2 linked regions of the Notamacropus eugenii genome follow. The protein of the gene in region 1 purifies or fractionates together with the protein of each later gene. This does not show direct contact. Links are inferred from orthologs where the notes say so. Each region holds a gene or a part of one and is shown in the gene's direction. Other genes may lie near its edges.

Evidence for each region.
Region 2: the proteins of VCAM1 (region 1) and MSN purify together in Homo sapiens (affinity purification with western blotting; 3 studies listed by BioGRID, with this or other methods). This does not show direct contact. The link is inferred for Notamacropus eugenii from reciprocal best matches to the Homo sapiens genes VCAM1 and MSN.

The regions. Positions count from the first base shown.
Region 1 is NC_092873.1:277,201,198-277,209,031, forward strand, and holds the start of VCAM1 (vascular cell adhesion protein 1), read left to right. Parts: upstream 1-4,741; 5' UTR 4,742-4,899; coding exon 4,900-4,963; intron 4,964-5,519; coding exon 5,520-5,795; intron 5,796-7,834. UniProt on the Homo sapiens protein: Cell adhesion glycoprotein predominantly expressed on the surface of endothelial cells that plays an important role in immune surveillance and inflammation.
Region 2 is NC_092879.1:25,989,898-25,997,242, forward strand, and holds the start of MSN (moesin), read left to right. Parts: upstream 1-4,327; 5' UTR 4,328-4,746; intron 4,747-7,345. UniProt on the Homo sapiens protein: Ezrin-radixin-moesin (ERM) family protein that connects the actin cytoskeleton to the plasma membrane and thereby regulates the structure and function of specific domains of the cell cortex.

The DNA.
Region 1 (7,834 bases):
TTTCTTCATCTGCAGAATGAGCTGGAGAAGGAAATGGTAAGCCACTCCAGCATCTTTGCCAAGAAAAACCCCTAATGGGGTCACAGAATTAGATATGACTGAAAAGCAACTGAACAACTACAACAAATGACTAGAAGGTCAACCTAGAGCTGGTGGTACCTTAGAAGTCATCTAATTGAGCATATTCCTCCTGGGATAGAACCTCCTCTACAATATGTCTATCACATGGTTTTCCAGCCTCCACTTGAAGACTTCTAATGAAGCCTGCCTACCTCTCAAGGCATCTCATTCCACTTTGAGATGGTTCAAATTATTAGAAAGTGCCCCCCCCAACATTAAATCTTTCTACAACTTCTACCCATTTGCTCTCACTGCCTTCCTTCAATAAGCATTTATGAAACACCTACTACATTCCAGACACTATGTTAGGTGCTGGAGGTACAAAGACAAGAATAATACAGTGTTTGCCTTCAAAGAATTAGGGAAACATGCTTAGTATGTAAGTACAAACTAAATGCAAAGTAATTTGGAGACAAAGGGACACACTATTAACTGGGGAATTAGGATTGGTTTTATGTATGAGCTGCACCAGAATTGAGTCTTGAAGGAAGCTAGAGATTCCACAAAGTAGACATAAGGAGGGAGTATATTCCAGGCATAAGGAACAATTTGTTCAAAGCAATGGAGATGAGAGATGGAATGTCCTGTATGGGCAATATAATGAAGGCTAGTTTCTCTGGAACAGAAAATGAATGAAGAGAGTAATACACAACCAGCCTGGAAAGGTAGGCAGGATCTAGCATAATCTTTGCCTTTTGGGACATAACAGAACAATTCTTATACTTTTTTTTTAAACAACTCTTACTACTCCCAAGTAATTTCTTTTCTGTGATAAAACATTCTCATTTCTTTGACCTGACTTTAGCACAACATGGTCTCTAGTTCCCTCACCATCCTAATTCTCCTCCTCCGGATTCACTCCAGGTTGTAAATGTAGAGGCCTAAAACTGAACTCTGTGCTCTGGGTATGGTCCTACCAGATCAGAGTACTTGGGAACTACTGGGGACTATTTCCAAAGTTCCTTTGCAAAGTCTCTAAGAGTATCAGCTTCTTTGGCCCATCATAGTGTAGACCCATATAAAGTTGCGATCCACAGGCTGTTTTTCACAGTAGCAGGCTAGAAGGGGAGATTATTCAAGGAGGTGGGGATGGGGAGACAAAGGCAATCTTCAGTCAATTGAAGCTCTGGATGTTAATTCATGAATTGAATCTCCAGTGAAAGTATACATGATTAAATTCTAAATTGTGTAACAAAAGGTAAGTAACACTTCATTTTCTCATGCTTAGCAACCCACTTCCTATAATCTTTTCACACCGTGATTCAGTATTGTATTTGACACTACATTCCCAAATTCTTATTTTTTTTAGCTATCTTGAGCTCTCAGTTAGAGGCGGGAAAATATTAAGGCTAGAGAGCCTGCCTTGGAGGCAGAGAATTTGGGTTCATTCATGTTTCTAGCTATGGGATCTTTTGCAAGTCATTCAATCTGTTAGTGCCCTCAGCATCTCTGTAATATGTTATAGATGAGTTTATGATGTTGTATCAGTAAGCACCCCAACATACACAGGGGGGCCAGCTATTACAGGTTCTTAGATCTGCATTCATAAAAGGAAAGGCAACTTTTGAGGAGTTAGCAATCACTTTAATCAGTCACATGTATCAATCCTTTAACCATACATGCACATATATCATTCACCTATTTCAGGGGCATCAGCACTCCAAACTTCAAAGAAAATACAGAGAAATTAAAGATCAATAGATATGGCTTCCTCTGCCTGAATTCAACAGACAATTGGACCCCCACTATCTGACCATAATTACCAGAGAGGGAAGCATGACATCTGGGTTCTCAAAGCTGGAGAGTTTGGGGGGTGTGGGGAGAGGAGGGCTCCTTAGCAGCTTCCCAGAGTCCTCATCTAACCAAACAAATGCTTCCAGTCAGTAAGCCCCAAAGTAATCGACAGACAAGGCTTCCCTCTGTCTGACCATAATTCAACAGACAGGTACAACTGTCTTTCCCAGAGAGGGAAGCATGACACCTGAGTTTTCAAAGCTGGGAGTGCTCCTTCAGTGGCTTCCCAGAGTCTTCATCTGGCACTCAAATCTTCTTGCAAAAACTAAACCCCAAAGTAAAACCTCACCCTCAGAGTATTTATATCTTTTTTTAGAGCCAGGGGCATCCCAACCCCTGAGAACCAGTGCCTTATCAACAAAAGCTGTGAGTGTTCCTACAAATCTTCCCTAATCAAACTCCCCTTAATGGGCAGGCCCATTAATATGTGGGAAAGGTCTTTAATCACATTAACAGTACAAATACAGGTACTGTTTCTAGTTAAAGAAATTCCTGTTTCTTTACTTTACTCTTAGCAAAAACTCTTGATTGATAAAGGCAAGATTCAATGAGAGGCACTTGATTATACTAAAACAAAACCAGCAAAAGATCCTATTTTGATTGCCATCGCAGATGCCTGTCACTGACGGGAGTTTTCACACCAGGAATTCCACCATACCATGAAATCACAAGACTATTAAGATAATATAGCTATCTCCACTGAAGCCTTACTCTAATATCTCATGACCTATGCCCACAAAGAAAGGCACTGGATTTGGTATCAGAAGACTTGGATTCAAGTCCAGACTCTTGTTACTAATGTGACTCTGGGCAAGTCACTTAATGTTTCTAGGTTTCAGATTACTCATTTCTAAAAGAAGGATATTCAATTACATGACTTCAAAGGCCCCTTCCCACTCCAAAACACCATAACACTAGGTCCTACCAACTTGAATGATTTTGAATATGGGCCCAGCAACAGACTGGGTCTAACAAACGAGAATTGGCCTAGTAGAGGATGCCAAGGCTCATTGACAGATGGTCGAACACTAGTGCAGGGACCTCCTTTTGGGTGGGCCTCACTTGAGGACCTAGAGGGACACATGTGGCCTCAAGGCTGCAGGTTTCCTACACCTGCACTAGGGTATTCATTTTTCTGGCCACAGTATCTCATGAAGACCATGTCTTAAGAATCAGAAGTGTGACAATCTACATTAGTTGAGGATTTGCCCACACCAAGGAAAATATAGACTCAAGTGCTAGCTAACGTATTTCGTACATTGACAGAAAGGTCATAGATAACCTATGCTAAAACAGACTTTACCAAATGAATAGCCCTTCCTTCCTGTGGTTTTTATTCCCCAAAGTTTTAAATTCCTACTAATTTCCTGAAATGCATCCTTATTTCCTGAAGAGAGGAAAAAGTTACATGCCTGGCTGTCCTGAATTCTGAGGTGAACTGTGAAAATTTTTTTAAGTACATAACTCTTCTTTTGGTCTTGGGATTTCCAAAGAAACATAATTTCTCATAGAAAATTGTATTCTAGTTCTGTTTGGGGTTTAAGACGTGGGATTTTTGGTCTGATTTGAACCTAGAGAGAGTTTTTCAGGTTTGGGGCTACCTCTTTGCAATATCAAGCCCATTCCATTCATTTGAAAAAAAATAGTCAATTCAGAGAAAAGATTTAATTGGATCTTTATATATCATGGAGACAACTGGTTGACTGAATGGTTTTTCATTTTTTAAGATAGTAGTTGTGGTGGTGGTGGTGTGTGTATGTGGTTTGTCCTTCATTCTTGAAGAGGACTGTGACATCAGAATATGATACCATGACTTGCAAGTGAACTGGATTTAAGTGAGGGAGGGCTGTGCAAAATCAACAGCCTCACTTTCTCCTCCAGAGCCATCTGGGTCCAGTGGCCAGATACAGATCAAGACAACTGGATATGGCCCAAGACAGCAACAACAGCAGCAATGATAAGAATAACAACATTTCTGATGCACTTTTGAGTATAAAGCACCTTGTATTATCCTCAAAATAACCCTCTGAGAGAAGAAGTGCAAGTATTATCCCCATTTTATGAATGAGGAAGCAAAAGGAAGCCTGTGGTCAAGAAGCAAATATTGTTGATGGGATTTAAACTCAGGGTTTTTGTCATTTAAGCTCTTTCAAAGATACTTAAGAAAACTGACACCTGGGATGTACTCCTATCCACCTTCAGTCTGTTTTCTACAATCCATGATATCACTGGTGTGGAGAGTCCCCTTCACCCATGCAGATCACAACCCCTCCATACTAAAGGTACCCACCTTTTTTCAGTCCCCATATGCTTCAATTTTCAGTAGTCCTTCCTATAGCCTCTATTAATATGAAAGCAAATAATTCATCCAGTTTTCTATGGTGATGCACATAAAAGTAGAATACAATTAATTTTCATAATGAAAATTTTATCTATCCATCCATCCATTCATTCATCCATCCATCTAATTATCTATGACACAGAAGTCCATTACCCAATAGAAAGATTTGGGTTTTTTTTCCCTGAAATAAAGATCCCAAACTCCTCTCCCTATTAGCCTAAAGATATGATTGTCCTGCAGTGGTGAATTGCAAAATATCTTTGCTAATCAGCACACTACAATCTTGGGGTCTTTTGTGCCCCAATTCAGAACAGTTCCTGAATTTAGAACCTCTGTTTGCTACTAAAAAGCAAGGTTGGAGTGTGCAGTTGCCTGTGATTTAGCCTGTAGAGCAGTATAAGGGGTTAATATTGAGGAACTTGGCTCTCGGTCAGCCTTTTTTTTCTTGGCTCTGCTCTGGGTTTCCCCGTTAAGGGATTTCCCTCCGCCTCTGCAGCAAGACCCTTTATAAAGAGCAGACTCTTTCTTCCATTGCTTACCCAGCTGCATTCACTTTGGAAGCAGCGGACAGTCCCTGGGTTTCTTCAGGTAGCACGGAGAGTGGGTAGTTTGGACTCGCTGTTTCCTCTATCACAACATACAAAATGTGTGGACAAAAGCTGGGAACTGTTCTGGCCACGAACCTCCTTTGGATGGTATTTGCTGCTTGTGAGTTTTTCTCCTTTAATTTCTTTTGCCTGCCTGCATCCATCTGAGCTACTGGGTTGATTTCAGACTCCTTAGTATTGCTGTTAAAAATGGTGCTGTGGTTTTTAAAGATAGAGGAAAACTTTGTTGAACTTAGTTTTCAAAGTGCTGTTGAATTTAGCTATGCATCAATGGTCTAGCATGGAGAGGGCCTTGAAAGTAATTTGGAATATGATTTCCCATGTGGAATGAATAATTTTGGTTCTATGGTATCTCTTTGCTAGTTTTCCATATTTGTGGGGAAATCAAATTTGTGAGGAAAATATCTAAAAGACCCTTAGAAATAGTGGCAAGTCTAAGCCTTAGTCACTGATCTTTTACTAAGGAGGATCATTCCAGCATCTTCCTTGACAATACGCTTCATTGTCTTTTTGAACACCTAGCTGGGAGATTCAAGTTATTTGGACAGGACAATTGATATATGACATTTTTCCCAGGATCCCAGAGGGTATAAAAGTGAGAGGAATACTAGATCAGAAGCTGGTAGTAAATTTTCTTTTCTTTTTTTCTTTTTCAGCGGAAGATCTGAAAATTGAGGTTGGCCCAAGTTTTAAGATCGCTGCTCAGATCGGGGGCTCCGCTAAGCTGACCTGCACTGTGACTGGCTGTGAAGCCCCTACTTTCTCTTGGAGAACCCAGATGGACAGCCCCCTATGGGGGAAGATACATACTGAAGGGACCAAGTCTACCTTGACCATGGATCCTGTTGGGTTCCAGAATGAACATTCTTATTTGTGCATGGCTGCATGTGGAAGCAAGAAAGTGGAGAAAGGAATCCTGGTGGAGCTCTATTGTAAGTTATCCACTCTTTGAGAACTCCTTGTTTTCAGTGAGATTAGTTGGGGGAAGGTGAATGTATGACTATTCCACAGGGGCCAAGTGTTAGATGAGGGAATAAACAGGGTACATGTATTTTTAATGATTAAACATTTTCCTCCTTAATTATTTTATTCAACCCAGAGAAGAAACTACTTGTTAAACTAAGAGATTCTTTCTTTTTCTTTTCTTTCTTTCTGCAAAATCCGGATTTTTCAAGGCTTAGTCCAGATGAACATCTCTCCATGTAACTTTCCTGGATACCCTCAATTTGTAGTGCTCACTTTCCCACTCCTAAGCTTTCAGTTTCTATTTTCCCACTAACACAGCAGTTTTTCAAGATAGTCACCTATACCTAATGACTATCTTTCAGCAGAGTCCTAACCTAACTAATCTTGACTCATTTACCTATCCAGCCCAGAAAGCTCAGCCACCTTTGTCTTTCTATCGGAAATAAGAACTGGGCAGAAATAGTGGGGTGTTCTAAAGGAGCAAAATCAGGATATAGATACTAAGGTGAGAAGAGAGTGTATTCATCTTTTGTTGCTGAAGAAGACCATGCCATCAGAGAAATAATGACATGACTTGCACTTGACTTTGTTTTGAGTGAGTGAGGGCTGTGCAGGTCACCAGCCTCACTTCTCCTCCAGAGCCATCTGAATACAGTGACTAGATATTCATCAGGATGACTGGAGATGAGCCAGGATGAGGCAATTGGGGTTAAGTGACTTGCCCAAGGCCACACAGCTAGTGAGTGTCAAGTGTATGAGGTGAGATTTGAACTCAGGTCCTCCTGACTCCTGCACTGGTGCTTTACCCACTGCACCACCTAGCTACCACTCTCTACTCTCTGGTACTCAACCCCAAAGAATACACATGTGCCTTATTTCTCCCCAATGCCACATCAATGATCCCTTATTTATTATGCCCATTAAACAAAAGTAGGAAATCTTAATTATTATTTATAAATATATATTTATATATACATACACATGCAATATATGTGATTATATATCATATAATAATATAAACACATAAATATGTATATACATATGTATATACGTATATATAAATAATTCTATCTCAGTTCTCAAAGACATCAGGTCAAACTCTCTCTGCTCCTTCTAGTATAGTATGCCACTTCTTGGCCATGTACAACTCCTACATGCTACATCTCTTTTCAGGCATGTATATATTTTCTCTTTCCATCTAGATCTTAAGTCCTTGTGTCTTATATTTCTTTGTATACTCAAAAGCACTTGGCATGATGCCTTGCACAAAAATAATATTTACTGATGAATTTTCCCCACTATCATCAATGGCATTAATAACACTGCTCTTGTACTGTCCCATCAAAGCTACATACATATATATATGTGTGTGTGTGTGTGTGTGTGTGCGCACGTGCATATGTACATATATACATATAAGATCTATTAACATATTAATGTAATATAATATCTATCTACATCTCTGCATGTAGTTTTCAGAGATGGAAAACTGGGCTTTAGGAAAGTTTGTGAGACTGAGTCAAAGTCAAGATTAGCAGAGATGCTTTATGGGAGAAGATATACACTGCCTTCTCCTTGTAAATCACTAAATCAAAGATTGATGACACTGGAAGGGACTTTGATAGCTCAACCCCTAATTTCAGAGATGAGGAAAATGAGACCCAGGAAAGGGAAGGCATTTGATCTAAATTGGTCTATTTATTTGTCTTCGTGTAGATCAAACAAAGCGAAAGATTGAGCCAAATGCAGGATAAATAATTCAGTACTATGCACTTTCTACTCTCCAGTAATGACATGATTTAGTTGATTTCCCTGACTTGGTTTCTGTACCCTGCTTCAGGCAGCAGGATTCAGAACACATAGGCATTATGCAACAGAAATTCTAACTAAGCCTTTCTCAACCCCCAGGACTATATTCAAGATGAATTTGATTCTCTTTATAAAGAGACTTGAACTGCTTAAAAGGGAGATCACTTCTATGGTATCATCTTATTATACAGAGCCA
Region 2 (7,345 bases), on another chromosome or scaffold:
TGTTTATGAGAGGCAGAACGGTATCCTGGGTACAGAACTGGCCTTGGAACTAGGAAGGTCTGACTTTTGAGTCCCACCTCTGACCCTACTGGCTCCATGACCCTGGGCAATCCACTTAACCTAGTGTTCCAGGTGACTCTCTAAGACAATGGTTCCTACCTTTTTTGTTCTGTGAACTCCTTTCTGAAAAAAAATTGTCATGAATCCATAGGGTAGCTGAATACCCTTGTGATAATATTCTTTTAGATTTATTCATTTAGTCCTTACAATAACTACAAGAACTTTTAGTCCCCAAAACCTCTCAATTAAAATTTGTATAATTGTAAAATATAAAATGTTATTCTATGTACAATTATGAAGATCAAATATAAAATTATAAACCTAATTATAAAATGATTACAAATATTTTATGTGGAACATTCTATAATAATTAGAAGACATGATCCCCCAAGACCTCAAATGTTTATTATCTTTGAGACTTCATACTAAATTTTGTTTAACTAATGTTGTGTTCAACAAAATTTGCAAATTTTGTTAAGTATAATGAACATTTTTAATTAAATAAGTTACAATTTGGAAGATGTTTACTATTCCATGATATAAATGGATAAACCTAAATTTGATGATGGACTTTTTAATTTGAATTAGATTTGCGACATTTGCCTTAACATCAAACATAGTCTTAAATTTTGTTCTAAAGTGAAGATTTTTCTGTATTTCGATTTAAAATGAGTATGATATGAAAATGTTCACTCACACAAATATTTGATAGCAAATGGTAGGAGAGTTTTATAAGCTCTCTTGCTGAGATAGAAACTCTTTTCGAAAAATTTTAGCTAGGTAATCACTCAACGAAAATGAGTAACTCGTTATGAAATAAAACATTCACTTTCCTACTGGCTAATGACAAGCGCTGTACTAAATGATAAATGTACCTAAAGTTTAATTGCATATATTGCTTCATTTTTGACAATATATATATTTTCCCTTCTAGGAATTGATTTGTGCTCACAGGTTGAACCGTTGTGTTCGTTTGGAAACAATTCGATGACGGGTTGAGAAATTGAAAGAACTGCACTTAAAAGCAGTCGAAGTTTGTCGGAATTGTTGAACAAACACCAAAATTGTTGTGCACATGATTATGATGGTTATCAGTCACTGCAGAAACAAACCTATAATGCTTCAAACATGCATATGCTTGTTGTCACAAAGAAAAAAATACATTTGAAACAAAATAATATAAGCTAACCTTTGAAAAGAAAGAATCTTTTCAGATGTGACCTTCTCTTCTACCACTGGCACACTAGCTACATTCTCACAAAACTCTACTAAACGACTGACCAGTGTTGCCAAACAGTTCATTTGAAAATACACCAGAGAGAAGAATCGTAACATAAGTGGATGACAAGTTTGTCAGAAAACAGCCTTAATACTGCAATGAGAGGTAATCAAAGGTTTGTTTTTGCAGAACATTTGTGATGGTCCATGATGGTTTCAAGATGGCTTTTAATTTGAATATTCATTGATCATGGTATTTAAATAGCCTGATATTTGCTCTGCAAAAAAGCAAAGGTTTGTAACATCTTGATCGTATGATTACCAGCTGATGAGATGTGATTACAGGGTAACAGAGAGGAACGAAGTAGCCACTCTGGCGCAGTGCACAGGACACAAATGAGGCTATATGTACCGGAGTTTGACCATCCATTGAGAACTGGTTTGGGCTTAAATTTTGAATCCTTATGTTGGTTTGGAAACAATTCGATGACAGGTTGAAAAACGGAAAGAATGCTTTGCACTTAGAAGCAGTCAGAGTAACAGCCACGTTGTGCAATGACTTTGATAGACTTTGCTCTTCTCAGCAATTCAAGGAACTAAAACAACTCCAAAAGACTCATGATGGAAAATGCCATCCACATCCACAGAAAGAAATATGGAGTCTGAATGCAGATCGAAGCAAACCATTCGCTCTCTTTTTTTGTTTCGTTTTGTTTCATTTTTTTCTTTCTCACGGTTCCTCCCTTTAGTTCCAATTCTTCTATGCAACATGACTAATGTGAAAAAATGCTTAATAGGAATGTATTATAGAGCCTATATCAGATTGCACACCATGTTGGGGAGGGAGGCGGAGAAAATTTAAAACTTATGGAAGTCAATGTTGAAAACTAAAAATAAATTAACTAATTAAAAAAAGTAGTCAGAGTTTGATGTTGATGTAATTGCTGTGGAAACACCAAAATTGTTGTGCACATGATTATGATGGTTGTCAGTCACTGCAGAAACAAACTTTTATAATGCTTCAAACATGCATGTGCTTGCTGTCTCAGAGGAAAAATACATTTGTAATATAATTGGACAATTGTTTATTACGTAAGGTGTTGTGAATGATTTTTCATTTTTTAAATTTTATTTTCAGTTATTCATTCTCTCCCTTCCTCCTCTCCTTCCTCCACCCACTAAGAAGACAATAAAAACAAAATCTGTTACAAATATGTATGGTTGTGCAAAACAAATTCTCACATGAGCTATTGAAAGCAAGGAAGGAAGGAAGGAAGGGAAAGAGGGAGGAAGGGAAAAAGGAAAGAGGGAAGGGAAATGCTGGAGTTATAAAAATAAAAAAATGAGCCACTTCCTACTCTCAAAAAGTTTACATTCTAATGGGGGAGGGGAGGAAATCTATAAAGGGGAGCTGAAAAGTTTGCATATTGGGAGGACTATAGCTGATCCAGTCAGGGACTCACCAGTCAGCCTCAGAGTGGAGTCATCCTTAGCAAGGCATGACTTGTCTCCCTTGATAGAATAGCTTATTGAGATTAGGGATGATTTCATTCTTTGTGTCCCTAGCACCTAGAACAGCACTTGGGAGAGAATGGGCACTTAATGCTAGATGGATTGATTGCTGAGTTCAACAAAGAGATCACCATGGAGCTATGAAAGAATAATGTAGTAGTAACAGGGAATTTCAGTTATCCAGTCTCCTACTGAAGAGTTTGCTCAGGAACAGAGCAGTTAGTACTCTTTTGATTTGACTTACAGGATCATTTAAAAGGTAGAAGAAGGGAGGAAGGAAGATTTTATTCTAGGTCTATTTTGCCAAAATGGAGGAATTCATTGGTGAGATGAAATGTCAGGAATCTTGGAGAACAGTGTTTACTACATCTTAGAATTTGTGAGAGAAGAGAGAAAAGTTGGGAATGGTCAAATTTGGGTTCTAGATTCTGAGAAAGTAGATTTTAAAAGGTTCAGAGAAAGAATAGGAAGGAACTCATGAACTATAATTCTACTGGGCTAATCATTCATTCTGGGAGAGATGGGAAACTCAAGAATGAATTTCTGAAGACACAATGAGAAAAAATTCCAGTGAGAAGAATAGATGGAGTTGTTTACTAAAATCGATGTGGATGCACAGGGACCTCACCAACCTGCTTACATTTCTAAAAGACACATGCAACAGATACAACCAAGAGTAAGTAACAGAATAAATACAAAATCAGGGCATGCTTCTGTAAAAAGAGTGTCAGGAGTGTGAAAACTCAGAATTGGTCAAGGTGAATGAGAACAAAAGGGATTTTAGGTATACTGTGAAAAAGAGGAGAATCAAAGAAGCTATAGGACCCCCTGGTCAGGATAAATGGGGCAATAAACTTAGAGCTACTCAATCATTATTTTGCTTCTGCCAAGGAAAATAATCTTTGGATTGGAAAGGACAGAATAGAAATGAGAAATAGGGAGTTGATATGCAAGAAAAGTGAAGGGATAATAAGAAAGTACTTAGCAGCCCTCAACGATTTCAAGTCACCTGTCCAAGATGAAGGACATGGGTAGGTTCTTTTGGTTTAGCCCTTGCCAGTTGATAGCTAAAAGATAGTGGAGAATGGGAGACATGCTGCAGGATTGGAGAAGGGCAAATGTCCTCAATTTTCCAAAAATAAACCCCCAAAACAAAAAAAAAGGCGAACTCATATCCTACGGACATTAAGCTAGTGTACTGAATTTGAATTTTGACACCTGGCAAGAACCTGGATTATGTTCATGGAAGGGGCAGTTCCTGAAGATCTCAAAAATCAGTGGTGGTGGAAAAGAACCAGCATAGTTTCCTTTAAAACGGGTACCGCCTGACTACCCTTTTTCAAGTAGTATTACTGAGCTTGGCACAGGGCCACATCACCCAAGATGGAGGTGTCCACATGGGAAACACAACGGGCTTGCTTCTCTGAGAAGGGATTCTGCTGTTCTCCTACCACGTGAGTGGGAGTAGTCTCTTTCCATTGGTCGTGTAGCCGGATATAGTTGCGTCTTTAAAACTACCAGACAAAGACCGTTTCTCGCTCTTTCTTTCCGGTGTTGCCCAGGAGTGAAGATCTTGTTTGCGCAGCATGGGCACTATGTACTAAGCTGGATAGGGGAAGGGTCACCTTCTCCTTCCCCTGGTACCCTGTGGCATCGGGAAAAGTGCACAGGGCTTTGGTTATCTGTTCTTTTCAGTTCTGGGTGCAGAAAGCGGCGAAGTTCCAGGACCTAGGAGGTTGAGTCATGGAGACTTCGGAGCCAGGCTTCCAGAATTTTGCCGGATGTTGCCACCACCCAAGCAGGAAGCCATTAGAAGCCAGGGACTGAAGCCTAAGGGGGCTTCAGACTCCGAATTTGGTGGAACTGGTGCTACATAGGAACTGATCTAAGCTGTGAACCTAATGGATTCCCATTCCCTTCCATTTCCCAGAGACGGAGAGGGTTATATCTTCCAAGGTAGGTGTTTCAGAGATAATGTTTGTATGTTGGTTTTTGTTATATCTTTGAAGTCAATATTCCTCTCTAAAAGGTAATCCCCTAAAAATTGTGAAACACACTTTATAGGGGTTTCAGCCCATGGTAGAGAGTAGATAATTCCCTAACTGCCTAAGAGTATTGGAGAACCCTGAAGGAGGGGTGCGGTGTAACCTACCGGGCCTTCAGGCAGTTAGGACCAAGGTAGACTTTGTTATTTTAGATTCCATCAGGGGAATGCCTGCAATAGCCAGTATGGGCTACATAAATCGTAATAAAACATTTGAAAGGTGTGGAGTTGATGCCAGCACAGTTAGGTGGATTTCAAACTAGTGCATATTCAAACCTAAAATTGTCAACTTTTGAAGGTAGGGTGTGTCTGGGATCTGTTTTAGGCTGGCCCTGTACTTTTTCACATTTGATCGATGACTTGGATAAAGATGGAAATACAAACCTGGGAGGGACAGCTAACACATTGAATGACAAAGTTGAGATTTGCAAAGATCTTCCTAGATCAGAACCGGAGTTTAAGATCTAGAGCTCCCAGAAACTACTTTGCCTATGTTTCATATTTCATTTTCCATGTATATTTTGTTTCATGCCCCCTCTCTCCAAGCTTCTTGAGTGCAGACACTGTTCTGTTTTTAGCTTTGTATTTCCAGAACCTACCACGGTACCTGACACATAGGTGGCTTAATTAAAACTTGTCAGATTGAATTGAATTGTATTGAAGCCTGCTTTGCCACTTACTCTCTGCAGATCTTGGTCAAATAATGGAATTCCTCTTGTCTTTTAATTTGCACATCTGTAGACTCTGAATCGGAATCCAATTAAACTCTGGGCTGAACTGAATAAATCTAACATGGATAAACATAAAACCTTCCTCTTGGTTCCCCCCCCACCCCCCCCACAAACCCAACCCCAAAGCCAACTTTGCAAGTACCAGATGGGGGTGGGGGTGGGGCTAGACAACAGTTCAGCTGAAAAAGATCTGGGGGTTGGACCGCAAGCTCCATATGAGTCAACAGTCAAGGTGGCTGCCAAGAAATCATCATTAAGAGAGGCAAAGCTTCCAGGATTAAGGAGGTGATTGTTTCACTCTCTGTTGCTCTGGGTGAACCACATCAGAAGTATTGTGGTCACTTCTGGGAGTCACCTTTTTGGAAGGACAACAAGCTAGAGAGTCCAAAGGAGGGCAACCAGGATTCAGAAGGACCTTGAGTCCAACTATATAAAGAAGGGTTTTAGGCACAATTTCAGCAAATTTATGAAGAAAAATGTTGCTCGCCTTCTGACACCTAGGTAATGGATTCCAGATTCGAACTGAGACATATTCTTAGACGTGGTCAGGGAAGGATTTGTTTTGCTTGACTATATAAAGGAGTTTGTTTTTCTTGCTTTCTTCCTGGGAGGGGGGTGCTTAGGGAGATAGGAGAGAGAAAGTTTTCAGCTCAAAGTAAAAATGAAATGGAATTTAGGGAAAAAAAGCCATATTAAAGGAACTAAGGATTTTGAACTTGGAAGATAGAATAATGTAGGGGAGAGGGAGTAAGCACATGATACCATGTTCAGGTATCTGAAGGGATATGAAATTCGAGAAAGGATTAGGCTTGTTCTGTTTGCCCCCACAGAGCTAAGTGGGGAACCTTCGGCCTGAGGCCACATGTGACTGTCTAGGTCCTCAATGGTGGCCCTTTGGCGAAATCCAAACTTCACAGAACGGATTTGTATTTGTTTGTGTCACTTCACCTGTCTGCCTCTGTTTCTTATCTATAAAATGAGGACAATATTAGCAGCTACCTCCCAGGGTTGCTGTGAGGATCAAAAGAGATCATATTTGTAAGGTGCTTAGCAAACCTTAAGCACTATGTGAAGTAGTAGTAGTAGTGGTGGTGGGGGTATATAAAGTAGTAGTAGTAGTGGTGGTGGGGGTATATAAAGTAGTAGTAGTAGTGGTGGTGGGGGTATATAAAGTAGTAGTAGTAGTGGTGGGGGGGGGTATATAAAGTAGTAGTAGTAGTGGTGGTGGGGGTATATAAAGTAGTAGTAGTAGCAGTTGATGATGATGTTCTATGGACATTGAGGTCCCTTCCAATTTTTTCAAAGCATTTATTAAGTGCTTACTATGTGTCGAGTGCGACAGCTAGGCGGTACAGTGGATAGAGCACTGGACTTGGAATCAGGAAGAGTCATCTTCATAAGTTCAAATCTGGCCTCAGTCACTTCCCAGCTATGTGACCCTGGGCAAGTCACTTCACTTCATTTGCCTCAGTTTCCTCATCTGTAAAATGGACTGGAGGAGGAAATGGCAAACCACTTCAGTTTTCTTACCAAGAAAACCTCAAAATGGGGTCACAAAGAGTTGGAACCAACTGAACGACATCATGTGCCAAGAACTGTGCTAAGCACTTTGGATATTGCTCAGGCCCTTGGCACATCCTTGCCCATTTGGCCACCCCTTAGGCAGTGTTGAGCTGTGAAAAATGAAGTAGGGTACTGAAGACATTTCATTAAACAGACACTTGTTGTTCAGTCATTTCAGTTGTGTCCAACTTTCCATGACCCCATTTCAGATTTTCTT